Linked DNA regions of Neodiprion lecontei. The protein of the gene in region 2 purifies or fractionates together with the protein of the main gene of each other region. This does not show direct contact. Links are inferred from orthologs where the notes say so. Each region holds a gene or a part of one and is shown on either strand. Other genes may lie near its edges.

Evidence for each region.
Region 1: the proteins of transcriptional adapter 3-B (region 2) and molybdopterin synthase catalytic subunit purify together in Drosophila melanogaster (affinity purification with mass spectrometry; 3 studies listed by BioGRID). This does not show direct contact. The link is inferred for Neodiprion lecontei from reciprocal best matches to the Drosophila melanogaster genes Ada3 and Mocs2B.
Region 3: the proteins of transcriptional adapter 3-B (region 2) and transcriptional adapter 2-alpha purify together in Drosophila melanogaster (affinity purification with mass spectrometry; 5 studies listed by BioGRID, with this or other methods). This does not show direct contact. The link is inferred for Neodiprion lecontei from reciprocal best matches to the Drosophila melanogaster genes Ada3 and Ada2a.
Region 4: the proteins of transcriptional adapter 3-B (region 2) and DNA polymerase epsilon subunit 3 purify together in Drosophila melanogaster (affinity purification with mass spectrometry; 3 studies listed by BioGRID). This does not show direct contact. The link is inferred for Neodiprion lecontei from reciprocal best matches to the Drosophila melanogaster genes Ada3 and Chrac-14.

Annotation. Positions count from the first base shown.
Region 1 is NC_060263.1:10,686,661-10,694,475, forward strand, and holds the start of molybdopterin synthase catalytic subunit, read left to right. Parts: upstream 1-4,001; intron 4,002-5,742; 5' UTR 5,743-5,748; coding exon 5,749-5,889; intron 5,890-6,736; exon of another isoform or gene 6,737-6,897; coding exon of another isoform or gene 6,898-6,900; intron 6,901-7,454; coding exon 7,455-7,758; intron 7,759-7,815. Other genes in the region: RNA-binding protein Pasilla, read right to left, coding at 314-431; molybdopterin synthase sulfur carrier subunit, read left to right, coding at 3,729-4,001. UniProt on the Drosophila melanogaster protein: Catalytic subunit of the molybdopterin synthase complex, a complex that catalyzes the conversion of precursor Z into molybdopterin.
Region 2 is NC_060266.1:16,333,284-16,341,049, reverse strand, and holds transcriptional adapter 3-B, read right to left. Parts: upstream 3,811-7,766; 5' UTR 3,409-3,810; coding exon 2,029-3,408; 3' UTR 1,458-2,028; downstream 1-1,457.
Region 3 is NC_060263.1:41,257,261-41,264,832, reverse strand, and holds transcriptional adapter 2-alpha, read right to left. Parts: upstream 4,458-7,572; 5' UTR 4,365-4,457; coding exon 4,301-4,364; intron 4,105-4,300; coding exon 2,726-4,104; 3' UTR 1,992-2,725; downstream 1-1,991. UniProt on the Drosophila melanogaster protein: Component of the histone acetyltransferase (HAT) complex ATAC; predominantly involved in acetylation of histone H4, including at Lys-6 (H4K5ac) and Lys-13 (H4K12ac).
Region 4 is NC_060261.1:6,079,493-6,087,042, forward strand, and holds DNA polymerase epsilon subunit 3, read right to left. Parts: upstream 3,631-7,550; 5' UTR 3,408-3,630; intron 3,221-3,407; coding exon 2,843-3,220; 3' UTR 1,569-2,842; downstream 1-1,568. Other genes in the region: E3 ubiquitin-protein ligase LRSAM1, read left to right, coding at 36-230, 321-539, 625-750; gamma-soluble NSF attachment protein, read left to right, coding at 3,904-3,953, 4,076-4,143, 4,219-4,303, 4,512-4,529, 4,996-5,203, 5,293-5,541, 5,620-5,871, 5,997-6,131. UniProt on the Drosophila melanogaster protein: Accessory component of the DNA polymerase epsilon complex. Participates in DNA repair and in chromosomal DNA replication. Histone-like protein which promotes nucleosome sliding of ATP-dependent nucleosome remodeling complexes.

The DNA.
Region 1 (7,815 bases), on a different chromosome or scaffold from region 2:
TCTTCCGTTCGTCGCTCGACTCCCGACTCAAAGTTCCATTTGACATTTGTCCTTCTCAAGTATTACGAGGCCCGAGTAAAGGGAGTAAGGAACGAATTGCGAAAGGATGTACGCCATGCCGGACGACAGGTGGGAACGAGAGACAGGGCTACGCAAAATTTGGCTTGTCAAACATTCCGTGGCACTAGCCGCGTTAAACACAATCAGCTCAAATGATCCCTCGTCACGATACACATCCGACATCGTACAAGCGTAAATCGAATCGCTTCGTTTTCGACGGGGTCTGATTAATACTGCAAAATTATCAAAATACCTGAGCCGTAGTGGGATCTTTTTGTTGAGCCGTTTTCCACGTCGCAGTCTAGCGGTCGTTTTCTTGAATCCGCGATTTCTGGGGAGGGACACGTCTCCATACCCGAGTCAGCGGCCATCTTTACTTCGTTGTTTCGCGCACACGAACCAAACAGCGACGACGAGGACACGACGACGACAACGACGACCGACCGACCGACCGACCGACCGACGACGACCGACCGAACGACCGACGGACGGACAATCACAAACTCACTGAGAAACTCCACACTTGAACGCCGCCACAACCTGTACACGTCTCACTGGCAACTGATCCCAGCTCCCTCGGAACTCCCTCGCTAAACCAGCTGGTCGCCTCCACGACCGCGACTCCCTCCCTCTACCCCTCGCCTCGCCGCTTGTGTGCTTCTAGTTCGCTCCTACTATCTTTGACGGACGTCTCCTCCGGTACCTTCCCTCGCCCTCCGACGCAATTCTAACACAACTGCCTCTGTCCTGTTCCCTCGCTCTTTGTCGCATATAATATGCCGATGGATGATAGCCTTCATTGGCGCATCTGTGATGCTTGCCATCGTCCTCTCCGTCAAACGGTCAAAATCCGCTATTAATAGAAAGGCACCGAGTTGCCACAAAAATGTTCAGCAATTACCACCAATCGCTTGCCGTATTCTGGCATTAGCGCATAATGGCAGCCGGGCGGCGGAGGGGGGCATCCGGATTCTCGTATCGATACATTACCATGAACGAAACTAACAAGCAGGAGAAGCTACCTAGCCCGTAACGGGGGAAAGGGATTTATTTTTGGGCCGTTGCATTTCGCAACCCGTATCGCCGCGATGTCGCTTTTAACCGAATGGCGCCTCTCCTGCCGAACAAGCCGCTAAACTCGCGTTATCTAAACATTTCTTCCGCGGACTTGCGATAAGTGTCGCTTATCGCAGCGCACGTAGGCGAACGGTTCATACTGAAATTTGAGCTCACATTTACCCTGGGTTGCTTTGTACTGGCTGTTGCCTACGTGACATCGCCGGGTGCCGAGCTTTTGGCATAGTGTCGGAAGCACGGTAATGTACGGGAAGAAAGCTTTGGGTAACCAAACCGTATTTAGGTCAAGCAAAAATCCATATTTCGTTGAATTTTATCAACGCATGTATGCGCTGTGTACATGCTACTTGTCAGCGATTATACGAGCGGGAAAGCTTGTATCCGCGAGCATGTGTCCTCTCTATGTGGCGGGTGGCCCGTCGTGTGTTCATCTCATCGCGACGAAAACAAAAATGTAGTAGGTGACGATATCATGTGCAATCATTCTTGAGTGCGAGACGTGTGCGTTTCACATAGAGCCGGCCTAAGTTCACGGGGTATACGCGCTTTGATTTTTCACGTCTTCATTTCGAAGCGCACTTGGATTTGATTAAATCCATGAATTGGAAGAAGACAAGTCTCGTAAGATTCGTACGCCGAAAAACGGTTACTTTCACAGAATATTTCCTGCGTCTATCGCGCTTATGCTCAATTTTCCCACAAAATATGACCCTGCCTGAGGTATGTATGCACGTACATGCCGGCATATCGTGCGATTTCAAACGCATATGACGATTATCGTGGTGCGGTGCTCATTCTGCAGACAGGATCGACAGGGATAAGGTTTAGTTGGGCATGTGTAACATATGTTTCATCCATATCCAATCGTGCAGTGAGGCGGTATAGGTAACATTCTCTTTCACAACTTGCAAGAAGCAAGTACCTTGTTACACCGTGTATACCTATTACAGCAACGTTGTCCTTGCCCCACAGCAACTTGCACATTCTTTCCTAGCTCCGGATTACCAGTATTCTCGATCCACCCATATCTATACTTAACTATGAGCACATTGTATTGCACGCGTACGCCTGCATACATTTGAATACTTACCCAAGGCCATCGCATGCTAACGCTATACACAGAGATACTAGCCTAGCTAGTCCATAGCTAGTCACCGTAGACGTTGTGTATTAGCTTTGAAACAGTGACGGTACGTATGAAATTGCCGTGCTACCATATGCCCTTGATCGATCATTTTGTACAGTGTAGCTACTATAGCTGTAATGTTAATTGACAAGAATCGAGTCGAAATGGAATAAATAGAACGTAATTCCGTATGAAATATTTTTCAGATTGTATGTCGTACAAGTATTTATTTTTATTGTATAGAATAGAACTAGAAAGAATATGATTGCACCAACATCTTGCACAAGGCTACTGCGTCTTTAAACTATACCACTACTTACGAGTTACTACCATAGTGCCACTCTCAGCTTTGTCCGTGATAGTTGTTCAATCATAGGTTTTTTTCTGGACACATACGCAGTGCGCCTTTTGCTTTCTGTATTTTACAATTTGAAGTCAACACCTATACTTTCATACCGTACATAATTATTTCCCAAGTATCATGACAGAACTGGTATAGTTCAAATAAGCAATTGAATATTCCATTTAGATTTCAGCGTAGCTTTGTATACAAGTATCACGAGCGCTTCAGCTTTGAAATAATTCCCATATTTCTACCAGACAACTTGCACGCTCATTTTCCTCCAAATGGAGGTTCTTCGATAAGATAATACATAGGCGATATTAATTTGACTGCGATGTCACCAGATGTGAGGATGCCGATGAATGCATGATAAAATATGCGTAGATAGGTATACCTATGCATATATATTTTATATAGATATATATAAATGTATATATATATATATATATATATATATATATACATATATATGGTTCCGTTACTTTTAACAGTACAGTTCCTGCTTTCGCATTCTAACTGGATTTCAGGCAGGTAGATAGGTATCTATTTTTCGTGCAATAATAAGGGCCCACGCCTGGCCGTTTTGTGCGACCATACTTCCCGTGACCTCATTCCGCCTTTGACCTGATTATCAAAAGTGCATTCGGTTTGGTCTAGTGAGGCGCCAGCTAACAGGTGTTACGTCATCACCACGGGCGTCAGCCTAGCAACAATTTTAAGGTCCAAGAATTGTCGAGCAGCTTGTCAATAAAAACAGAAATTTTTGCAACAGCAATAAATTGGTATGTATGGAGGAGATAACAGTAGAATTATACGTCAATTTGACGACTGATGAAGAAAGGCTGATTAATCACAGTTCTCCTTTTCGGCACGTTTCCGGTATCAGCGTTTTTCGACCGTACCGTACGCAAACATAACCTCGTTATGCTTCGTTACCAACTTTCCACCGATCTATTGTTCCGGGAAAATATTTCTTACGTAACGAGATAGTATTGGCTAATACCAATCGAGTAAACAGTGAACAATAACAATGCATGTGTTGAAAACATGTGTGGTGCGATAAAGGTCTATGCAAGTGCCAAGCAGAGCCAGTCGCTGTCGCCACTCTGTCGCCCATAGTTTATGATGGATGGAGAATCACGAGATTCGCTGGTAAAAATTCTCTTTTTCGCCAAGGCTCGCGAGTTGTCCGGCCTGAAAGAGTCTCGGGCTAAGCTGCCGGCTAACATCTCTTACCAATCTTTGTTGGATACAATTATTGAGAAATTTGGTCTCGAAAGTATTCGCGATTCTGTTATCTTATCTCTCAACGAAGAATACCTTGCAGCCAACGGAACGCTTAACCTATCCGACCAGGACGAAATTGCTGTTATTCCCCCGCTCAGTGGAGGTTAGTTTATCAAACATATTAACATTTATTTCAATTTATTTACATTTAATCATAATAATGATCAAACTACTTTGACTGCTCAGCGAAAAAATGAGAACTACGTAATTACAAAAGGTATACGTTTCTTCCTGACTGTTTTCGCACAAATCTTCTATCATGGGCATCTTTCGGAACCTTATTTCATTCAAGTAGTGAAATATGTTTTTCCGCCACATTCATAATAATACTATGCCGCAACGAGCGGCTGTACCATTCTCTATAGGGTCGAAGTTATGTTTCAGGATTGGGCAGTTGCCAGTATCAGTATCTTATCCTCGTATTGTACAATGCTGATGAAAATCGACATGAATACCATAATCATTTCCAGCTTTATCGCCGAAGGCAAGGAATATGAGGGTACCTAGAAGAACGTTTGTATTATTACATCCAACATTCAACAGCTTATTACAAAGTCTACTGGAATTTATGTGCCTTTAATTTTTAATTACCATGACAGCTCTAAACACAAGAGTATTGAAAAACCCAAGTTTGAAGAAAATAAACTGTAATTGGCTTAGCCATACGCCGTTTAATGTTGGATCACCACAAACTGCCAGAAACAGGCTCAACAATATGGATGTTCTTCCAGGAAACACAATATTCATTGATAAAATGTTGCACATAATTAACACAATTTTCGGAGAAAAGATTATTTAAACTCATTTCCCAGTATGTGTTACTTATCCAAAAATCTGAATTCGGCTCTTTTGTTCATAGCTTATAAAGTCTAGCTAAAGTCTAGACCATTCTTATGGAGGAGCAAAGCGTAGTAATAATGCCGAAGTTAGTAACCTTTATGTAACCAAACATTGCGGGGAGAAATTGTTATTTTGCAAGGTTATAGTGAGTTTGAAGTAGTTAGGTTTTCAAAATATGAAAAAGAATACAGTTTGCCTCATTATGATTTACTAAATTTCAGAGATTCCTGCAGCTGAGAAATAGCAATTTTTTAAAACGTTAATCATTGTAATAATATTATTAACTTCAGCCTCAAGCCTAGTAAAAGGAAACTTATTGGAACTGAATCTTGTCATTGGTTCTTGAGATATTGTTCGCGCTATTTTCAAATAATAGTTCTTGATTACAAAAAAGGAGTTTTTTTTCAGGGTTTTTCAGTATTTATGATATTTCAAATTTCTTAATAATGATCCAGCCTTTTAGCAAAGTATTCTTGGAAAATTTATGAGCTCAAAGTTTGCAAAGCTAAGATGAAGGAAAATTTTTTTTAAATCATGATTTTGGAACTTTAGTATGACTGAAAGAGTTACGTTTGCAAAATTTCATATTTATGCTCTGCTTTTATTTGAGTCAACTACTGTATTATGGACAACTATAAAGTTGCTAAATAATGATCAGACGGAAAAAATTCATCATTACGTTAATGTTACAAAGTTCAGCTTTACGATTATTTTAATTACTTACGATATTAACGTAAACGATTTAAATATCACCTTCAGTTTACTCTTGAATCTACAATGAGTTGCATTCACGAAGATTTGACATGCAGGGTCTGCTTTGATTCTTTAATCATTATCAAGAATTTCGATTTGTTTTCAAATTATTCAGTAAGAATTTCGGCCTTGACTTTAGAATTGTACTTATAATCGTGATTGTTCTCTGTTTTTAATACTTTTGGTTTCTTTGTTATGCTGTAAATTCCAATAGTCATTTTTGGGAATATATTCACAATCACAGTCTTTGTTGCAGGTTAAGATGAATGACTCAAAAGATGTCATTAAGCTGCAGACGGAACAGTTGAATATAGGAGGCATAATTAATCTGGTAGTTGCAGCAAATTGTGGAGCAATATCCACTTTCATTGGTACAACTCGGGACAATTTTGAAGGAAAGAAGGTACACAATTACTTGTACTCTAAGAAATTTAGAAGTTGTCACTGCATATGTAAAAAGGAATATCAATCATTCCATTTATTTGGTCATAATTTTTCTGACAATCGAACTGTGAAATCTAATTAATTTTGTTATAATGTTGATAAAGCAGACAAGTATCTATATTATTATTAGTATCCCTATTAATATAATTTCGGGAAAATACGCTACAAGTGATTTTATACTATCTCGTATTAATTGTGTCTGGATTTACATATCGGTTTTGCAGACTTTAGTTAATATTTCACGACCAGCGATGCCACTACGTTTTTTTACCGATATTTGGCCTTTGGCGGGGGGGCATGCGTATGTCTAACAATGAGACAATTTTATACAATGAAATAAAGGTTTGATCCTAATAGTATACATAGGAGTAGATCAGAATTCTTCAATCTTAAAGTTGAGGAGTCTGGAAATAGAAGGACTTCGAAATGACATGTGTCAATGACATTATGTAAATGTGGAACCTGGAACATTAGGAAATCAGAAACAAAATTATTTCTCTTATACAAAAATTACTATTCAGTATTCAAATCTCTTTATTCATTTGAACGAAGTTAGATACAAGTTAACAGGTATATATCAGATATTGTATCAATTTATGCAGCATGAAAGCCAAGTGTATGAAAAAGTAATCAAGTTGCGTTTTTCAAACAAATACAGTACAAATTCATATAAATCGAGTCGTTTAATTCAAGACAGATCTGAAGAATTTTAACTTTGGTTACTCTAATTTATTTTTTAACTAAAATTTTTTTTTAAAATGCGCGTAAAATGTGTTTGAAAAAAATTTCTATGTTCCAAAATCCAGGGCAGGGATTTCCATGCCATAAAAATGTCGAGGTCTGGTTTATACCATCCATGCTGGCAATGACGCCACTGTTCATGATGCTACAATTTCTTGGAAAGGAGTACTGACTCCTTCAGCTGATCAGAGTGGGGCGCACAGCGCCGCGGTTTTAGAGAATTGAAATGGTGTGTGAAGCGACCCTAATTCATATAAAATTTCGCAGAAAGTATTACCATAAAACATCAGAGAATTTGATAGAAAATCTGGAAATGAGGCTGTATTGATGGCATTTTTTGAATAACGTGTTCACTATTACAACTAATTTTTTCTACCCAGTGCTTAGTTATCCCGCTATTATAGTTGTGGGAAAATTTAAAAAACATATGTGACTTTTGGAAGAATACAGTTTTTTACCACCTACCTCAAACTTCTGTAATCGAGTGGAAAAGGAAATCATTATTCCAGTAAATTTTGAAACATCAGTTTATTAGAAAATTGAAGATTTCAAACAACTTTTTTACTCATGAAAATCGGTTGCCAGATTTTAGCAATAATACTGCCACATTAGTTCACTTATGAAATATTCTCTCGTAGTCTGCAAGTTACCCACAATTCATGGTTGTTGCAAGTTTGAAAAACTAGAAATTCATCAATGAGTTGCGCAGTTTTATTAGAATTTTCGTAATGTCTTTTATCAGAATAGTAAGACTGTTGCAAGATGCATTTTTTTCTGTGGCAGGTCGTTAAGTTGGAGTACGAGGCATACCAGTCAATGGCGTTGAAAGAATTGGAGAATGTATGCTCAAAGATTCGTTCTCAATGGGATGTTGAACGCATAGCAATTTACCACCGCCTAGGGGTCGTATCTGTGACTGAGGCCAGCGTTGTCATAGCTATTTCTTCGTCTCACAGACAAGAGAGTCTTCAAGCTACGCAGTTTGCTATTGACATGCTGAAAAGTACTGTACCTATTTGGAAGAAGGAAATCTATGATAACCACAAGTCACAATGGAAAGAAAACAAAGAATGCTCTTGGTCCACCAGTAAATAATTTTTTACATACTGTACTATTATCGTGACAAGATACCACTACATTTATG
Region 2 (7,766 bases):
TGTCAGGGCGGAATTTATTACAATTAGCTAGGTTGTTATTCAAATATACCAGGGACAATTTTTCGAATTTAAAAAAAAGCGGCAGCTCAAGTACGGATTATTAATTTTTATCCACACATATTTAATTTTCTACACTATTACACGTAGAATCTTTCGTCCTTCGTTTCTTTTTTCTTGTGATTGGAAATCAATTGTTAATCTAGTATTATTTATAATTAAAAATCGAAAGTTTTCATCACAATTCAAACTAAACTGTATAGGTAGGCGAAACTGTACCGTTCCAATTATATCGTGTTTAATCTGACTCACTCTGTTAAACATACAGTCATTTACATAAATATATACATTCATTGATGTAGAATCTTAACGATATGGGCTAAGAAAAAATAAGTGAACAAAGTACCTATGAAGAAAGAGCAAGGTCGATACGTGTCAGGTCGCTAAATAATAGAAAAGTTTCTCTATTCGACTTAGGCCCCCTGATATACATATAAAAGATAAACATTCCGGAAAAAAGGAAAAAACGAAGCAATTTACAACTAGATTTCAAAACATGAGTAATAAAATAAAGAGCAGCATCCAATATTTCTGAAACTAATTTGAAAAAGTTTTGAACAAAATATCCAAAGTGAAACTTGTATTTTCTATAGAATGTAGAAAAGTAAACGTACGTTATCTAAAAGTAAAAAAATTAAATAAATAAAAATAAACTAATATGTTCTGACTGTAACGGTTGCATGGGGCCCAAACCAAAAAGACAAACCATAAATAATCTTTATAAGTAAATTAAAGAGAAGATCAACTAGAGCGTTATTATAACAAATATTCAGGCATAACATATAATCATTCTGTAATAAAAATTGAATGAACAAATGATGAAGAAATACGAGTTGGCTCAAAAAACATGTTAGTGTTGGTACAATTAATAAGAACCATATAATATGTAGGTGAAATGAAACTTGGGAACGTGCAAAAAGAGAGAAGTAAAAAAATTATTCATGGAGAAGAATTCTGAAATGATGAAGGGTTTGAATAGTAATTTCGTGAGATTTTTTATTTTTTTTTTTTGTTAGAGAAAAATAATCACTCTTTCCAATTAGTTGCAGGTAACATTTTTCTGAATCATTCTGTACGTGTTATATCTCTTTACCGTGACTTATGATATAACTTGATTAATAAATGATAATAGTATGCGTAAACAAATAATATTACTCGCTCGAAACAAAGATATTTGAAGATACCTTTTGTTATTAAATTGTTACCACTTGCACCACAATTATGATTCAACTTGAATGGATTCATTATTCATTTAATTTATTTGTGATATTGTATAATTTTGTTGTCGTTGGATTAACTGTTTTTTTGTTTATATCTTGATACATATATATAATATATATAATATTATATATATATATATATATATATATATTGTATATATTATATACATACATATACATATATTTTTCTATTATTACGACTTGTTTACATTTTCACGATATTTCATTTGTTGAACATTCCCTATAATTATAATCATTATCATTGTTACGAATAGCATTATCGTTACTATTATTCCAGATGATACGTAAGATTGAAAATTCTCGAATATGTATTTAAAAATAATATATTAAAATATAGATTATATGTTAATACATCTTTCCCATTTCATTATTTTCCCCTGACGGTCAATTTATCCTGTTACTACATTCATAAATCACTCAATTGTATCAGGCACCACATAAAAAAGTAATCAAAAGAACAAATTAACTTAGATGTGTAACTGTATAAATTACTACCAGAATTATAATATTGTAATCTGTACAAGTAAATAGAGCAATGTAAGCTGTAAAGTAATTGTCACATCATTCATTTTAACATTGTAATCGTAACGAAAAGTACAATAATTCAAAATATTAAACATGATAAACATAAAAATATGACTCAAATGAGATTAACTAATCAGAACTGCTATTCTACAACGCAATGTTATGTCGCATATACGCATTGGCTTGTATGACGACCATTGAGAGATCAAGCCGTGTTATTTCTTGAGTTGATGACAGTGTCACTGCCGCTTGACAGTATATTCAAATGTTCAAGTAAGTTTTCACGCTCTCTCAGGCAGCTCCAAGCCTTCTCCTGTTCTTTTTTAGTCATAGACACTTTTCTCTGTTTAGCTAGTATCAATTTTTTGTAATGTTCAACGACTTCGTTGTCGACAATGCTTATTTTACGTTTCACAGCCTGTCGTTTGCTCTCCTCTTGCGCCAATTGAAGCAGTCGTTTCAACTGTGTCACATTATGATTGGACAAAGCGGACAGTTCTTGTTGGCATCGTTTTATTTCTGCAAGAATTTCATCATCTTGATTCTTTTTCGGAGTATCAGCCTCAAGTATACCTTGCTCTACCAGCTCCTTGTGCATCCTCAATTCCAAATTCATTGAATTTTGTATAGACAAGTCTCTAAGCACAGGAGGATCGCCATCCCTAAACAATTTATTATCCATATTATTATTAGCTACATATACATTCTCTTCCAACAGAGCTGAAACTAATCTTTGGGTCAAAGGTCCTGCGATGCTATTTCCCTTCTTATCAACCTTCGAAACAAGGAGCGAAACGTCGGACCGATTTTTCTTTTTATCCCTGTTTGGATTAGCCGCATCTTCCTCCTGCAATAAATCATTATGCGCCCACAGCAGACTATAATGACGACCGAGCGGCGGGATTTTCTTCAACTCGCTCTGATCGCTATGAGAAGCGACCAATTCCTCCAGCAGCTTTAAGTCCTCCGGCATGATATCGGTGCAGTAAGGATCGACCGAAGCCCAGAACTTATTGGGAGTATCGTTTTTGGGCAAAAGTAATTTAGGGAGATCAGATTTACTCCCATCGATTCTGTTCAATTCGTGAGGATTCGGGACAACTTGAGAAGCTAATCCCCCAGAAGTTTTTTGCTTAAACAGTTTGGCCGGAAGCGGAGACTGCGCCTTCGAGCTAAAGTCCTTGAGCTTGGATTTATCCTCGCGAATTTTTTTGTCAAGTGTCGACAGGCCTTTTACACTCTTTGACCTTTTGTCTCTACGTTCTTCCGCCGACGACAAGTTTGTTATCTCATCTTGCAGTAATCGGCATCGAACTACAACGGATGAAAGCAATGTTTCCAGCTCGAGTTGTAGCGTATCCAAATCTTCCATCCCGACACATTCCTCCGCCGAACGCTGCAGAATGCTACAGTACCTTGGCAAATGTTTTCCATTGTCAACCGTCTTTAGAACAGGCAGAGAAACTGCAGCCTCTGTGCTCTCCGAACTTGTGTCAGAGTTTACAGAAGACAGATGTCCGGATTTACCTCCCTCGCGCACCTTTATCAGCGCCTTCTTTGAACTCTGTTTACCTTTACCTGACATTACGGTTTCTCTCTGTCTTCTCTGTGGGTATGTTCAGTTAACGTTCGACCGTTATAAAAATACAACCAATAAGCTGGATTGCAGTAAGTTTAAGTTATCAGTAATTTTTGTGATTTTCACCGACTGTATTAGTTATTATTATTCACCGTAAGTGTCCAATAAGCAATCTTGGAGGTTAGGTTCTGTTTTTCCTTTGTGTCCACTTACTATGGAAAAGCGAACAAATCAGGTACGTACGAAAGGTCGTCTGATCTGACGATTAGTTTTATCCAAGGTACGTTTGAAATTATCATGCCAATCATGTACCCAATTGTTTAATGATATTTCACTATCAACACCATTTCGCAAACGATGTCACACAACCCACACAACCTAGGACACAAACTAACCTGTCATCTGACTTACCAAGTGCCGTCATTGGCGGGATAGCGGAAATCGCCATCTTGAGAGATGACAACTTCAAATCGAACTACTGCAACAAGTGTTTGTTACACATTTAAAACAATATCTTCCGTCAATAACAGAACTACTTATTAAGCAGTATTACACATGTGGAACCAATTCGCAATAAAATATTCGTAAGTATGTACGTAAGCAAGTATTCATAGTCCTTCCTTGAGGAACAAGGAACATAAATTTTTTACAAACAAATTGATCATTTGAATATTTTTTCAAAATTTTATTTCACAACTTTATTATATTATAAATATTACGATTTAAAAAAAAAATTTTTTTCTTAACAACAATTTTTACTTGTTTATATTCGTTTTTTTTAGAATTCTATTGTTTAAATAATTAGTTGCGAAATTATTTTTTATCTAAAAATCATAATGGACAGTCCTCCATGAAGTAAAAAAAAAAATTTTTTTTATCAACAATTCCATTGTTTATTAACTTATCAATTTTTAACTTTGTTATATTTTTTTTCTCAAACTTCTAAAAATTAAAAAAACACCCATATATAACAAAATATATAAAAACAATTTTTTCAATTTTTTATTTTAATACAAGCTTAGCCAAAAGCTGAAAAATTTGAAAAGCTTGTGAGAAAACTTGTGTAACGACCGAATACGGCGCTGTAACGAGTCACCGAATACATGCACAAGTCCAATCGCAGCTCTCGCGCTCGAGACTTGGCCCGTCTCTCCGTCGTCGCATACCACGCGTTACCCGTATCGCTATTATCAAACGTATTGGAATATTCAATTACGAGTAACGAAAAATGAATAAACCGTTTTCATTATTTTCTTCCTTATTTTTTTTTCTCTGCCAACAGGCCATTCCGTTCTGCGGCAACAAAATCATGATGTGTTCGGCATTTTACGTACGAATTTTCTTACGCATTTGTTCGTTAAGTACAATTATTGTACCGTATTCATCAGCTTCTTTGATCTATGAAGGAAAAAGCATAAGAGAGAGAGAGAGAGAGAGAGAGAGATTGATTGATTGATTCAACCTTTATTATGCCTTGGTAGTACCATGAGGCGAATTATGAAAGTACATAAAATTATTCAGTGTAAATCAGAAATAAGTTTTTCAAGGATATCAAAATAACAATAGTTGGTATAAGTATAAAAAAGAAATATAAAAAATATTCAATAATAGTAATAAAGTTGATATAATGGTAATAGAATTATTTAATAGTAATATACATCTACAAGAGGACACGAGATAAAGAGTATGAAATAATGTGCCGAAAATAAAAATAAAAATAAAAATAAAAATAAGGACGCAATTAAAATAAAGATGAATAAAGATCAAAGGATTGTGGATAGATACAATGTGATGATAGTTAAAATTAAAATTAAAATCAAAATTAAAATTAAAATTAAAATTAAAATTAAAATTAAAATTAAAATTAAAATAGCCAAAACGTTAAAATTTTGATTAAAAATAGCTAAACCGTAACCCTATCTATAGCAAAGAGGTAGTTGTGCAGTCGAACCTTTAGAATTGGAAGTGAGGGAGAAGTTGCTACTTCGGCAGGGAGAGAGTGCCAAAAATGCATGGCAGAAAGAAAAAATGAATCGCGATAGGTAGGCGTGCGGGGTAGAGGTAAGTGGAAATAATGAGTTTTTTGCTGTCGGGAAGTATGGTTCGTTTGATTTTGGAGAGAAGATAACTCTTTCAAATATGATGGTGAGTTGCCATGGATTATGTTAAATACCATGATACCTAGAATATAGAGGTGCAGAGAAAAAAATGGTGATTCAACGATAGATGAAAATAAGATGCATATGCCAAATGAAACATTGGGAGGGCGTGTAGAGACGAAAAGGCGGGTGTGATAATGAACGAGAGCGAGTGAAACAGCATTGTCTGTCTGTTGTCAAGAATTTGTGAAAAAATTCCAAAGATCGAGCGCGAATAATAGCTACATAAATGCGTTCTTTAACTGTATGGTTAACAAATAATGTATTGCTTGAAAAATAATTGAAAAAAAGTCGAATATATTAAACAGATTTCCACACACACAATTTCAACAAATGGACGAATGAATTGGCCAACTTTTAATTATAACTACATTTATTCCAGCAATAATTAAAGATGTGCATACGCGTAATTTATAATTGTATAAAAGCAGGTGGTCAAGAAATAAGATTATCGTGAGTGATAAAAAGAAAAACATTCTTTAAATTTGGTTTGACACGTTTGACACGTTTGCCACGCTCAACATGTTTGATCGTACATAATTGTTTACCTGCTCGCTAAATTATATTTTCTATAAAAATATAAATGAAGAAATTTTTGTTTCATTTGTAAGTGGAAGGGAGGGGGGAGAAAGAGAGTAATTAATGATTCGTTTATTATTTATTTATAATACTAATATTTATTTATTTTTATAATACTGGATTTGTTTGTAGTACTATAATAATTAATTGAATAAGTATCACATGTAGAGTATTGCATCCGTTTACGAAGCAAGATCCGAAATTGCACTTCTGTAATATTAAGCAACTGAATCTTTGCAAAAAGCGGCAGAGTGGCCGAGGAATACCGCGGTTTCACTCTGTAAGACGCATGCGTGCGAGCTTACATCTATGGGTTAGCATAACAGAGAGCTAAGCGGTGGAGCAGATAATACAGAGCATGCTTCGTTATCTGCGTCCATCGCTTACCCGCCGAGAATTTAGTTCACGCAACGGACACACAGATCCGACGGAACCGAGCTTCACCAGCCTGTCCCAGGCTCTTCGTTCCGTGGGCCCTCTCAGGTTTCTCTCTGTATAGAGCAAGATTCGGGCCAACGCCATCATAATCAAAATAACAACAAATGTCGCGACTTGGTGGGGATTCATCTGATTGTTAAAAGTCGCGGGGAGGGAGTTCGCCCAACGTGACGGCTCCAAACAGACGACTTTGTCGCAGGCACGTTAATGTAAGCAAGAATTGTGACGTCAACGTCGGATCGTTCTGCTTTCGTCAGGGATGAGTAGTTTTGAAAATAAGTTGTTTGTGTATTTGGCTTATGGCTAGCCCGCCTTTAGTTGGTAGGGTGGGTGCAGATTGCTGCCGCGGTTAATAGAACCCGTGTAACAAAACAAAAAACAATAACAATACGGATATAACATAAAGAGAACAGCGGTGTCGTCATAGTTCGAATTATCTAAACAGCTTGGGAAATCGGACAGTAATTTACGGTCAAGAAGCATTCGTAGTTGTTACAGAAGTCACGAGGCGAAAGGTGATAACAAAAAGGTTTCGCGTTAAAATGGACGCTCTAAGGGAACAGGTGATGATTAATCAGTTCGTTCTGGCCGCCGGGTGCGCCAGGGAACAGGCGAAACAGTTACTGCAGGCTGCTCACTGGCAGTTCGAGGTGAGCTCTACTTCCATTTTTCATTAATTATTTCTCGTCTCGGCCGCCGAGGCAAGCCACAGTAAGTAAACAAAACACGCACGACGACGACGACGACGATACGACGGAGTAGTGATAATAAAATGGCTGCTCTTCGTTTACAAGTTTATCTTGCGCACTTTCCCCGTATCTTTAAACAACAACTCGCGGTTATTATGCGGCTACCATTATCATTTCACCCGCATGTGATATAAATCGATAATCGGCAAAAACCCGGCTGAAATTCGCTGGTAAATGAACGTCTAATTTTACCACGGATTCTGCGATACTATTATGAATATGTTGTAGTTAGTAACGTTATCGTAACTATTCGTGCTGACGAAAAACCGTTATTTCGCGATTTTGGAACTGTTTGAAATTCAGTAAACCGTAATAAAACAAAAGACACTCATGTTTTGCAATCTTAGTTCCTTCAAAATCATCGTAAAAATAAGAAATAGTGATATTTTCGTTCAATGTTTCCTTACGGTAACGCTACTAACTTTAATGTCGTTATTTA
Region 3 (7,572 bases), on a different chromosome or scaffold from region 2:
GTCCATTGATATTGACATGCTCAACGGTTGTCACGTTCAAACCACTGCAGAACTTCCTTTACCCCCCATGTGGTTAAATTTGCTGTTGGAGGTTTAGTATCCAAATACCCGGTTTCGGGAAGAAAGAAAGAAAATAATAGACATCGAGCAGGGTACTATTTAACCAAGTGTGACTGATGATAACTTGATTGGTTGCAACGAAATCTCCCTTGTAAAACTAACCACAGAACTCTAAAACCCCAAATACGGGTAAGAAATAATGATGTCATTCGCATTACAACCCGCAAAAAAAAAACTGATGGACTGCGACTCCTGCCCCACACGATAATCATATGATCAAAAGGTGACAAAACTTGAACAATTAAAACGTTATTTCTAGGAAATTGATAGTTCATTCACAAGTGCAGGTATTCGCATTGTGAATTTGTATTGAGAGGCGAACTTGATAAGTGACGCGAAGAGGCACCCATTAGAGCACGTCGTGAAGAATCTTCGTCGCCTTCGAACGGTAACCAAGCGACCAAGCTATCATCATTGATCTTAATCGCAAATTATTTTGCAAAACCATGCTCGGAATGCAGACTGCCTTGCCGGCTGCCAGGTGAAAACCGGTGCTGGGCCGGTAGATAATCAGGCCGGAGGTGAAGTACACCGTACACCATACGTGCGTGTTGGATTCTGACCCCACTTTTAAACGGCAACGCGTAGTCGAGAGGGTCAGTGTACAACAGGCTGGGTAGACGTCGTTGGGCCGTTAAGGGTAATTATTGAGGGTATCGGACGCCATAGCGTTGTGGTTCCCTTCACAGAGAATAAAAATCCATACACGACATTTCGCAGAAACTAATGACAGCACAACCTTCATCCATGTCCATGATACGATAGAGATGGTCGTCTCTGTCGCATGTACAAGAATTTACAGTTATGCAGAATAAGAGCTGAAGAGGCTTAATAACTTTACACGAGATGTAACGCATGATTTTTCCAACAACGGAGAAGTCCGTAATGATATTATCTGCCGTTACATCACGCCAACTTACATCTTTCCTTCCAGAGCCCAAGAGCTGTTTACTCCGTAAAAGATAACGAAAAAAAGATGTTTCGGGTATGCAGAATTATAGGACGTTACTTTCGTCCGAAGCAGAACTACGTCTACTATTCGGAGTTAGTAGTTTCGCGATGTTGTGTTCAATAACCACCGCAATGATACGTTCTCAAAGTACCCTCAGAGTAGGGATACTGTCAATTATTTTGACATCCATGTTATCGTGCCAAGGAACGACTTTGGGCTGGGTTAAAAACGAGATGGAAGTTATGCGTGTTTTCAATATTTATAAACAGAGTACATTATAGGAATGAAAGTTGCATCTAGCATTTGTTCAACAATCAATATACAATCAATCGATGATCTCAGAGAACGTATGCCGCGATTTGAGATGGCCTGGTAAGTGGAATATAATTAATTGGGTGCGACGTAAAATGTCCGTCGGATTTGTAAGCAAACTGCATAGTTAGTACTGTAGTGATCTTTTGGTCTGAATGTCTTCCAGAATAGTTCTCATTTCGTCATCTTCCAAACGTCCTTCGAGACTTGGTATCAATGCTTTGGCCTCCTCAGGTGTTTCAGGGCAAAGATTCGCCAATGAAGCCAGTTCAAATTTATGGAGCTTCTTCTGCATCAGTAAACTGTAAAAACAATTAAACGCGTATTAGTAAACCAAATTGCACAGAATGTGAAACGAAATGAATCTCTTCTACTACTGCAATGAGCTCAATCTGCTGCACATACTTTCGAACCGCAGCGATAGTCTCCTTATTCCTGAACTTGCGAAATCGATTAGTGTACGTCAAACTCTTCATGAAAACCTCGGAGAACTCTTGTTCCTCTTCTGCGGATTCGTTCTGTGCCTTCCTGTGTTCCAGCAGCATGTAAACCTCAGATATCAACAGCGTCTCAGCATTTTCAAACTCTGTCAAATAACGAGTTATAGTATTGTAATAGATGTACGAAAAAAAAAATTATTTCGAGTTCCTCCTGGAAACAAATGCAGAGAGGTTTCTCTAATTGCAAGCTCATTCTGTGAAAAACGCGATCAAGTATTTCTTCAAAATTCGTTTCTTGCGTGTATTTTTCTTCTGCCAGCACGTAAAAAGTTTTTCACAGTAGGTTGAAATAGAATTAAATAATGACGCGAGGAATAAGGACGAATAAATGTTATTGTATGAACGTTCCATTCGTCTTCAAACCTTTCAGAATGTAAGAAGACGTGGATAAACAAATTCATCAGTTATTGGTTTGTTTTTGAATTTTAGTTTGGCATGGGTTGTTCGTCTGAATTAGTAGAATGGACTTTTTATTTTTAATGCCAACTCTATAGATGGTAAATGATTGAAATTTGTGAAATTTCAATCCTTTTTGTCGGTCATGTTAAAAATAACAGAATAGGAATACTGGAGGGTTCATTGAGAGTAAAATTGGCATAAATTCACAAAAATAGTAACATTTCTATTCGTATATAAAAGAACAAGCTAACAAAGGACTTAGACTTGAGTTTGTACATTGTAATAAATAATGAAGTCTTAGCCTATTTTAACCAACACATAATCATAAAAATTAATTCACTTGTCAAATGGGCTGTCACAAAGTGTTAATATCACAATGACATTGAAATGTCGAAAAATATTCACATATAACTGCGACGAATCAATTGACCAGTGACGTGTCTTACTGAGCAGGTTTATTGATGTATCCTTCTTCTGCCAAGAAATCATATATTTTTCGCGTCTTGTTAACATCAATCTTCAGAAGAACTCTGGCTTGAGCAAGCCTCAAGCTCCCACATTTTTTATTCTCTGTTATCAACAGGTTTTTGAAGTCAAAGTAGCTTTCAGGTATAACACGAGCATTTGAGCAAAGATCCCGTTCAGCCGGAGTAAGGCGGTCGTATCCAGGAAGCCCTTGAATAATAAGAGGCGGCGGTGCTTTACGTTGGGGAACATTTGGTGCAACATGAGGTGTAGTCTTTACAATGCAGCCAGGTAATACAGTCTGCCAGCAATATTCTGTATTACTCATATACTGCTTTCTCTCTTTTTCATGTTCCATGCGCAGCTTGGCCAACTTTTGAAACATCGGTACTGAGTGAAACCTTGTGATACCATTTCGGCGAAATTCAAATAATCTTCTAATGTAATTTCTTAGTTCACCAGCGTGGTGAAGACCCTCGATTATGTAATCAAAATCCATCCCACTGACAAGTTGCATGAATGTTAGTAATCTTTCGATCAAAGGTCTGGTAAGAGTCGATTCGTACCTTTGAAGCCATGATATGGTTCTACGAAACGAAATAAGCCCATGATTACGTACAATTTTTCTACGCCTTTGCCTTTCTTTGAGTCTGTGATTGTAGGCATTTACTATTGCAACTTGGAGGTTTTTTCCAAGCTCCAAATGCTTGTCGGCAGGACAGAATTCTTCATATTTTAAATCTGAGACTAACAATTCAGCATAATTGTCAAAATTTACTTCGAAATCTGATCTAGCTGCATTGTATCCGGCCAATAATTTGTAGTTTATCGTATTGCTGGCAAATCTTGGCGGGTCTTCAAGATCTTGAAGTTTGTAAAGGTACGGTACAGCCTCGGAGCCAAACAAGCTGACCTCGGTTTCTTTTATCTTCGGTAATCCAGGCAAATTTTGATTGTCTATGAAATTGTGCAGGTAATGCTTCCTGCACTCATCCGGCGACTTGTTCTGCAATCTCCTCGATATATCGTCCCAATTGCCGAATCCACACTCTTGCAAGACATCCAAAAGTTCGAGTTCCTCTTTGGCGGACCAATTGGAACCGGGTATAAGTGGGAATTCGTTTTTTATTATAATGTAATTGTGGTTATTTTTATGTTCCTCAATTTCGGCACCGTTTGAAAAACAGTTGGGACATATCTCTATGTTCAAACACTCGGCGCACTTTATGTATGGCTCGTACAGTGTCGATTTACACACACAACACGCGGGGTCAGAAGTAAGGATTTCTTCCTTCACGACTGATACCTCGAGATCGACGTCGTGTTCCGACTCATTTGCAAAACTCGACGGACAGTCTGAAAGTAAGAAAACCGTTACTCGAGACCTTTGTTCAAGGATGACTGAATTAGTTGCTTAAAACGGTATTTTTTTTCCATATACCATTCAATGCTTTCAAGCCCCATCGTTTTAGGTTATGTCTGCGACGTGAAATTGTTCGCGAAATTATAAAAGTAGCCGCTAATTTCAAAGAAAATTTTACAATTTTCTCACCTTTTGGAAACTGGAGGTCTGCCGCATCCTCTTCAGTCATATCCGTTACATTTGTATTAGCCATTTCTTATGTTTTTTTGAGAAATAACAACGAACTACTTTGCACGGGTAACGCTGTTTACACACAATGCACAATTGCGTGACCGTCGATAAGCGTTGGAAGGAGTTGACTGATCTTCTCACAGATAGCAGCACTTAACGAAAAGCGTGTTTTTTGCCTGTCAAAACGTTACTTCGTCCATCAGATTATCGACGAAGTTAGCAACGAATTCGTCAGGCAGATTCTACCGTACCGATGGAATTCAACAGTCGAATTGAATCGAATATTTGAATATCGCATAATTTGAATTACATTCGAATGGTGCGAAGATTCGAATTGTTTGAAAGATTTAAGTATTCGGAATATTCACATTATGGGACTCCAATTATTCACATACCCTCAACAAAACTTCTTGGCAAGTGTCTGACAACAATGGTGTCTATGAAATTACCAGTATATCTATGAAGGAAGAAAAAAATTATTAATGAAATTTCATAACTTTTCCGAAATCAACAATTTTTCCACGAATAAAGAATCTTATACAGCGATTTGGTTTCGCGCCTTGATAATGAAACTGGAACAAAGGCAGGCGAAGCCTTGACCAAAATGCATCGAAATTATTATTCTGCGTAGGTCGATGTTCATGTATAATAGTCGGACATATTATACATGCAAACGAGTATTTTTTAGCATAATGAATATCTGAGATGAACGGATATAAAATTATGCTTACCACAAGAATTTACGGTGTATAGTATACCTCATAGCTCGCATCGGTAATATTTTGGCAAATTTTGGTTCCAGTTCAGCGAAAGATTTTCTTTCTTAAATTCCATGGGACGCAATGTATTCCTTATAATATATATTTATCCATGAAACGCGTAAAGTCTATGCAACGGTTGTACGGCCTATAAATACTACATAAAATGTAGAATGGCCTGAGGTCACGCTGTGTGTCGACAGAATATTCGATAAAATGATTCGGCAACTGAATAATTAATTCCAGCATGCTAAGCCAATTACCATATTCCAATTTGTTCGTGAAACTCGAATCAAGCTCGCACGAACTCAATAAATTGCTGTCTAATATACTCACATTGTACGATTGTACAATGCAAACATTCTAGTGCAGAATTATTTCAGAGGAATTTTCGAAAGCGGCATAGTAGTTTCTAATCTTGTGGTGCGAAAATTGTCGGTTGGATTTAAAAGTTTGATGTAAAATATCGTAGAACGGCTGAATAGTGGGATGTACAGTTATGCAATAATTATTCGTAAAAAATTTTACAACAGCCAGAAAATTTTATTGCCGAAATGAAATAAACATGCCGGCGATTTCAGTTTTGCAATAAAACAGTTGCGAATACGCAACCACCATCATCCAGCAACATTTCACGTCAAATAAAATGATACAAAGGATATTTTAACCAAGATTTAGAGTCGTAACTGCGTGTCTGAAAACTGCATTTATCCATCAAAATTCGCCATGTGTCTAGCAAAAACTTCTTTTAGTTCGGTTATAATCTTTACTCGATATTCATCTCATGTGAAAAAAACAAAGAGTCGATTATAACGTGATCCAGGTTTTGCGGATGCAGCATTCGTACATCGTGTCGTGGACATACATATTCTTACGATTAGACGTCCTACAAGTATGCCGTACGTGCCTCGAAATTCGAGGTTGTATATTTTATAATTGTAGTTGCCTTTGTGCTTGCCTCGAATGTCAGATAACGTATCTGCAGGGAAAGAATTCGGTAGCACGAGTGACAATGTCGAGAATTAAGACTTCATTTATAGGGTGATCAAAAGGAGCAGAAAAATGATGCGGTTAAATAATCTTCAAATCCGACCGATTCGCCACATCCACCTCAGGTGCGTGAATCACACGAATCTCCAAAAAAATATCTTATTCCAGCTGCATGGCATGTTTTTAATAAATATTGCGTTTTCAAGTGTGCCGAAACCAAAAATGACTTCCATTTCCCTCCAACGCGTACAATATTTTTGCTTGCAAAATAAAAGATGTTCGCGTAAAGAAAGCATAACAATAACGAAAAAACCGCCATTTCATTGCAATGAACTAAAGAATATTTCTCATGAAATTAAACAAACAATTTTTTTATCAAATGTACTCAACATTCCGTGTTCATACATTTTGCTTACGAAACCATTTCTTCTTCTCTTTGATACACCTCCGAACGAGCTTCCGCTTTCCATTTTCTATTTCCCTGCTTGTATTTATTCTTGAGTCTCACTCTGATACATATTAAATGAAAGTAAGAAATCACTTTTGCATAAGATTTTTGGAATCAAGAACAGGATACCAGATTTCGAGTTGAACGGAATATTCACTCCGAATGAAACTACAAACACGAGTTGGAGAAAAAACCTGACGTGATGGAACCTTTTGAGTATTTTTCCCGGTTTCAGTGAGTGAAAATCAATAAGAAATGAATAAAGAATCTGTGCAGTTTTTTGGTTTCAGACCTATGTTACACTTCGGATTCACTACCTTTACGACTTGACGACTCTTCTCTTCTTTACACTGTTATACGCATCGAATTCTTCGTGTCATAAAATACAGGCTCCAAATTGGATTGAATCAAACGGTAAACATCCAGGGTAACTCCTTGCAAGCCTGAAGCCGAGCAATATTAAAACTTGTTTACTCGCACTTGACAGATCGCAGATTGACAAACTGTCAAAGTCAATCGCTGTTACAAGACTCCGAAATCCGTATTTAGTATTCCACTACTAGTGAATATTGAGAATCGAAGCTGTAGATAAAATTTTGTTCAACAGTTGGCATGAGTGAAAAACTTGGTGTACCAAAAACGCAGTCGTCAAAACCCTTCATCATTTCTCTTACGAATCCATCGATAAAATACAGCGTCTTATTCATCCTCATGAAGGTAAACGCGAAACGTTATCTTCTCGACATCGATATGTAAACAACAGAACTGTCGTAACGTCGGATTTCATCGTGGATTCTGAGTGAGAACCAGACGTAAATTAAACGACGGACTTACCTCTCTAGCGCCTACATCGGCTCGTTCCATTGATCCGTTAGAATAATCAACGACCGAATCGTAGAGTGTAATAGAAAACTATGAACATTACGGCGTCGCCTGAGCAGCCGGATTTTTCCAACGCCCGAACTCTTCACTTTCACGAATTCAACGTCGGCGATAGCAAAACGGAAGGACGTCAGGTATTCGGCTTTGCTAGG
Region 4 (7,550 bases), on a different chromosome or scaffold from region 2:
AAAATAACTGAACATTTACGTTTTTACTATTAAAGAGTTCAAGAAGAGGCAGCCAATTCTGGCTAATGCAATACCAATCACTCATGGAAACCAGGCCTCAAGGCTTACTGGAGACACTGGAGCCAATGTTAGTCAGACATTTAGCTATTGCAGGAGTGATGCATTGTCTCCCATTTTTGAGTACAATACAGTCACTTTTGCCACATATTACTCATGAGGATCTAATAGAGGTGAGGACATAAAATTATCAAAGAAAATGGAAAACTATGAATCGAAATCAACTTCAAAAACTGAATAATTTGGCAATTGTTTTTTCACAGGTTGGAATCAAGAGCGCAAATGATCGAACAGCAATCATATTAGCTACAGAAAATTATCTAGCAGAGAAAAAGCTGCATGCTAGCGAGCATTTACACGAGATACCATCTGTCGTACCGTCTGCTCCAGAAGACGAAGTTGGCACAAGTTCTAAGATGGATAAAAACGAAGATTCACAGGGCATAAATTCCACGGAATGTGTTATCTGCCTCGACATGGCTGTGAGTTTCATAATATTCAGTTTCAAAATTGAAAATTTAACATGTTTCCTTGTAATGCGACAACCTGTTTCATTGCATATTTCAGTGTCAAGTTATTTTCCTTCCCTGCGGACACATGTGCTGTTGCACAGAATGTGCGAATAAAGTAGCAACGGAGTGTCCAATGTGTCGCAGTGTTGTTGAGCGTAGAATAAGAGTTTTAACAACATGATCACAGCGATATGTTCTACAAAACTCGCACAACATTTGAAGAATGTTTTAATTAGTCAGACGATTTGGTGAACTGCAAAGTGTGAAAGAAAACAACGCCATACCCCTGTTTTGTATTATGAAGACATAAAAGTTGGTTTGTAAAAATATTCTATCTTTTATTTTAAAATATCTATTGTGTTATGGTTGATGCAAGTAGATCCTTGGATAAAATTTTCATACTTGCATCACTATACAGACTAGACTTAATGTGCGAAGCTCAAGAGAACATGATGTTTCCAAGAAAATCATTGCATATTTATCCAGTATTTAAAAATAGTGTGAACATCTCAGAAAGCCAATGATAAAAATGCTTGGATAATATCTTGTTATTTCTACAGCTTTCTTTGTGTACTGAAATAGAGACAGAATTGAATGTGCAAGACAAACAATTTTTATTATAAAAACCATTGATATTTTTCATGGTGATGTATATTTCATTCTCAAGTTAAGTATCAAAATATTGGACAAGTTTCAACCAAAATCTATGATTCAAGTTGATGAGCACTTATCGAAAATGCAAATCATAAATATCTATGTATAATATTTATATACATTTGATATAGAATTTTTAATGTCTATTTGCTTATAAATTTTTCTATCAAAATTACATTTCTCAAAGAACGATATTAAAGAATTTAAATGTCCTTAAAAGTTTCTAAACTACTGTTAAAATATGAATAGTAAAGCCAAGTATGAATACAATTACTAATGCAGGATATGAAAATGATCCGAAATTATTCTAAACTACGAGTAATGGTAAATTTTTGCTAAATAACATTTAAGTGGTACTACTCGTTAAGAATGCCTAACTATTGGAAGGCGATGCTATATATATATACATCGCAGTTAATTCAGATGAAAAATTCTTTGATTACTAGAAATAATTAGAATTCGTTCAATTTTAATAAACAGCGCTGATCAAGAAAGGACGGCTTGAGTAGTCAATAATTTTATGCTAGTCTTTCTTTGCCTGTTTTGTAAACATAAAGTGCCATATATACACATACAATTAATTCTTACATATAAGATATTATTGCGATGTGTTTACCTATGTAAAGTAAGTAAACGGAACTGAGATATAAGCTAGGCATAAGATATAACTTTATAATATAGTGAAGGAGAAAACACAAAGTAAACCAATATTACAGAGCGAAATATGGATTCGATAGGCATGTCTCTAATTGATTAGACTTGCTACTATTGTTAAACAGAATACTAAACACTGTTCGTAGTGAAATGAAAAATTCCATTAATTTAGCATAGAATGTTCGAATTGTAGTCATTTCCTATACTGCACATTCTGCACTTGATTTAAAAATCCACATAGAAAGAACATTGCTAATCTTTCTTATTCTCATACGGAGTTTTAGAACATGCGGAGTAAATGTTTTTTAACCCTATAGTCTATACCTACCATTACTGTAAGCTCGCAAGATTGTTCAATTATTGATCTAATGATATTGAATGAAAAAAAAAAAGAAAACTACATATATATGTATATATATATTACTATGTATATTATTATGTACCCATTGAGATACACACTTTTACGAACGATTTCTGCATAAATATTATGTAATCTATTTACTCTCACACCAATATTGTCTTATATACAATTAATAAAATTTTCTGAGACTGTTTGCATATTGTTCGTCATACAATTCAATGCCACAAACTATTGAATTCGTGATACAATTCAAAAAAGCGGAAGCCTGGTGACTCACCAAAACTTTGTCAGAATAGTATGCAACCCTTCCATCACACGACCCACTTGTACAAAATGTATTGCAGTAATGATTTTGTAAAAGCACAGGTGTCACATTAACGATTCATAATAATGTCAATTTGGAAAAGGAGAAAGTAATAAAACATAAGTAGATACTTCGAGGGGAAAAATAATAATAATAATCAGGATTTGAGTGAAAAAAAAAAATATTCTTATATTATTCAATATAAATTGTGGTTTACACACAGCCTATACATATACTTAAGTTAAAAATCCGATGTATTAAATAGTGTGTGAATGTAAAAAATGCAAAAAAAAGTAGAAGCTACTCAGCGTCTTCGCAAACGATTTCTTCCACTTCTTCGTCATCTTTCTTCTGTTGTTTTCTCTTTGTAGTCGCATCCTTTTTTTCCTTTTGTGACTTTTTGAAATTTTCCAATGCCTCTTGGAGCGGTTCAAGAAATTGGTCAAACTCAATTTCTTCAATAGCTTGAATAACGTCAGTACCACTGATAGTTTTTCTTTTTCCTTTTTTAGCGATTGTATTGGCAGTTGACGTAATGTACAATATAAAAATCGAAGCAGCTTTTGCGACCGCCGCTCGTGCTTCCTTGCCAATATTGACTCCGTCCGGCAGAGATTCCTTAATTATTCTTGTTACAACAGCATTAGGGAGATTCAAGTCTTCTAATCTCTCAGCCATCTATTGAGGTGAAGCATTATTCGTTAATTCGCGAAGAGAGAATTTCAAAATTATATTGTCGTGAAATATTAAAACACGTTTTACAATGGCAGAAAAGTCGTCGAAAAAAGTGAGAGAAATTTTGAGGTTATAAAAACTACGATACCGAGAATTTAGACAACGTGATGAGAAAAATTGATGTACTTACCTTTAGCTTTTACGATTGAATGATTTTCAACGGAAGGTAAATAAAAAGTAGAATATCAGCAAGTGGTGACGTTTCAATTGAGTTTTACTTCGTTTTCGCCGATATTTCAATCAGATTTTATAAGTAATTATTGTATCACCGAGGGACGCGACTGTGAATTTGAAAATCAAATATAAACATGTCGTGTATTCGCTCCATAAACTTCATTCGCGGTAGGGTGATGTTTTTTATTTTATTTTTTTTTTTCCATCATGCGATCCTGAGACGCCATCTACAGGATTTTACAAAGTACCATATTTTCGTCTAGTTTTCGTGACTCATTGTCAGGACATTTGCAAATGAGTTTACGAACACGCCCAAGGTTTCTGCTTCGTAGTACGGAATACGTCGTCTGCATTTCACGGATTGAATTGATTTGACACAAGAAAATTTGACAGTAATATTTTTGCGGAAAAACAAAGTGATTTTACAAACGTGAGCCAACATTTTGAGAAAAATGTCGAAAATGGAGGAAGGAATGGCCCACATTCGGCAGGCCGAAAAAAGGTGAGATTTTTTTCTTAGTACATCAATCCAAATTAGAAAAGAATTTGATCATTTTAATTCCCTAACCAGTAAAAACGTACCATTAATTTAGATCATAATAATTTATTAATTTTCTCCCCTAGTTTAAAAACGTCACTTTTAAAGTGGAGACCTGATTTTGAAATCGCTGCTGATGAATACTCCCATGCGGGTAAATATACCATGCGATAATATATTTGCGCGCCTCATTACTGTCAATATTTAATCTTCTCCTTCCACTCAACAGCCACCTGTTTTCGAAATGCAAAAGCTTTTCAACAGTGCAAGGAATGCCTAATGAAGGCTTCAGACTGTCACAAACAGAACAGATCGTATCCTTTCAGACATCGATCGGTGTTTTTTGAATTTTCATGGTTTACTTTTTTATTAACGATGAATTCTATACATAATTTTCTTATGTCGAAATCGAAAGTTCTTGAATCAGTATAAAACATGCAGATCATGCGTCATAGTTTTCATCTGTTTCGACGAAACAATTTTTTCTCTGGTTTATAGTTAAATCCTTAATTAGTTTAATAGATGGTTTCACGCTGCAAAGTAAGTATGGCCAATTGACTCAAAGACTCAAGCAGACTTTAAAACTTGGAAAACGATGCTTGGTTTATAGAAACTGAACATACGGTATTTTATCAAGTGGATGAAAAAAAGCGAAAATGAAAAATATTTTCCAAATACAGAATGATAAAAACCAATGTATGCAAATCAACATTGTTTTTGTTTCAAACAATTATCTCAAGTGTTAAAATAATTTACCGAACCATATTCGTTTTAATTTGATCCAGATCTAGATCAAACCTAGATCAGATCTAGTCTTAGCATTCTTTGCCATGGCTATGATTTTACTCCCAAATTGTACGAAATTGATATAAAACAAATATCCGTTTTCATAAGTATAAAAGGCTTTCTAAAAATAGTTTGCATAAGCACCTTCAAAAAAAAAAAATGTTGAGCATACAAATAGTGGTTTCATAAACTAAATAAAGTGACTAAAAATGTTGTGTAGGAGTATGGAACAGGCACTTCTAGTGTGCAAGGAATTAGGAAATTTAACCGAAGTACCGAAATTGGCACATTCTGCATGTTCGTTATATCAGCAACACGGCTCACCTGAATCAGGTGCTTCGGTACTGGATAAAGCAGCTAAATTATTGGAAGCTACTGAACCCGCACAAGCTCTGGAGTTGTACAAGCGTGCAGCTGATGTTGTTATGGTATAAGAAATAATTTCATAATGACAAAAAGCCTGATAGTATTTCCAGCGTTAGAGATTAAAAAATAATACGGCTATAAAATGTTACAGAGTGAAGACAGTCCGAGACAAGCGGCTGAATACATGAGCAAAGTAGCTAGAATTCTAGTAAAACTAAAAATGTACGATCAAGCTGCAGACGCGATTCGTAGGGAGATTGGAATGCATCAACAGATAGATCACACTCCGTCTGTAGGACGACTAGCGGTAGCACTAGTATTGGTTCAACTCGCCAGAGGGGATCAAGTGGCAGCAGAAAAGGCGTTCAAAGAATGGGGAAACTACTGCGACGTTCCCGAGGCAAGTAGACTAAAGGAATCGTTATTAATTAAGGCATGTAAAGGACGTATAATAATGTAAAATTGGCATTTTCCACAGGTACAAACTCTGGAAATGCTACTACAGGCCTACGACAACGAGGATGCAGATTCTGCAAGGTCAGCATTGAACAGTCCTTTCATCAAACACATGGATGTAGAATACGCCAAATTAGCAAGAGGGCTTCCTCTGCCGCAAGTAGAATATGCAGTTCCACCGGCTGGTGTTCGACCAAATGCCGCAGCTTCTTACATATCCCCAAATGCTACCAAACTTACTAGCCAAGCGACGGTTGAGGCTGAAGTTAATCAGGTAATAGTCGCTGGGCTCGAGTTACATTTTGTGAACAGCTGTTGAGTACAACTCTCGATGTGTTCATCTGAAGTAAGGTTTATCACCATAAATTGTTAAAGACGATATATTCTTTTTTGCAACAGGAAGACAATGCTGCAGACGTTGCTAGTGGACAAGTCGGTCAAGGCAATCCAAAAGCAAATCCGATCATAGAGCCAAAAGAAAGTTCAACAAAAGAAGAAGAGCCGGAAGATGAGTATGAAGGGGGACTTTGCTGATTTGTTAAATTTTGACTGACGCTATTGTTTAAGTATAAGAATCCGTAGTAACATAAAGTAACTGTCGATAGGTGGTTATTGTTTGTGAATTATTAGCTACTCAATATCTTCCGCTTTACTCTGCATTTATATTTACTACTATCCAAATAGTGTATAAACTGTTGCATTGACGTTTGCATCTATTACCTATGATTCAAATAGCGCCAATGGTGCAATACTCGTATGCAGAGATAAATTTGTACAACGATATGTTGATTATTGTAGATGCCTGGCAAAAATACAAATATTTCTGTCGCGCACGTGATTTAAATAATATGCACAGAAAAATTATGCAACTTACATTTTGCAGTAAGATTTTCTCCATTATCCTTGAAATTTTAAATGCGAATATTTCTTAAACAGTTGTTTCAAATTTTTGTTAGTAGTCTATTTTGTTTAAATAGTCTTAATGTATCGATAATGATGAAGCGCGAACTTTCATCCATGATCGGCGAGACATTTAAATATTCCAATTACATGAGAAAGAAATCATAGTGAAAGATTTTTACTATGCAAGATGATTGAAAATCTGGACATTTGCCTACAGTTATGCCAATCAGAGGATTTGATTAGAAACCGTTTTGCCGGAGTGATTAATTATTTGTAACTTTATGAAAATGAAAAGATTAATCAAACATAGGAGTAATAAAGTGAATCTAATATGTATCGCTTTAATTTATTTAAATATACTGTACGATAAGTAATGTTTGATTTTTAATTGTAAAACAACTAATGTATGTCACATAACAATTCCTTGTCAAGACAAAATAAATAAAATAAAGTTATTCAGTGATTCTAAAAATAAAATTCACTTCCATCATCGAGCCTTCGGGGATTCATTCAAACTCACATGCATGTAATTTTTGGCTATTGTTAGTCGGTCGAGTCAAAAAAGATGCGAAGAAAAGGTTTAAAATGTGAAAATGTGGATGATCGAGTTCAATTTCATTGAATCGATATTTGTTTTGTACAAACAAAACGCAAAAACCAATATTTTTTATTTATAAACTCAGTTATTAACAACTTCAGAGAGAGCTCGTATGGTTGAACATTTTCCTTTTTTACGCCAACTTTCAAAAATTTCTGTACATTTCATTTGTAAATGGATATTCTACAAATCATACCTAAGATATATTTTTGATAATAACATCATAAAATAATTATTGTTTAAATAATTTGTAGAATATTCATTTACAGAGTGAGCGATAATACATCGAAATTGAACCGTTGACATGGTTTTGACCATTTTTCGAATATATCATATTCCGAAACTTGTTTTCAAGAAGTTTTCTAAAAAGGGTATAAATATAACGCTTCAATAATATTTACCCAACTTTGCGTGAAATTCAAAACTTTAATACTCTGTCAATAGGTTACGTT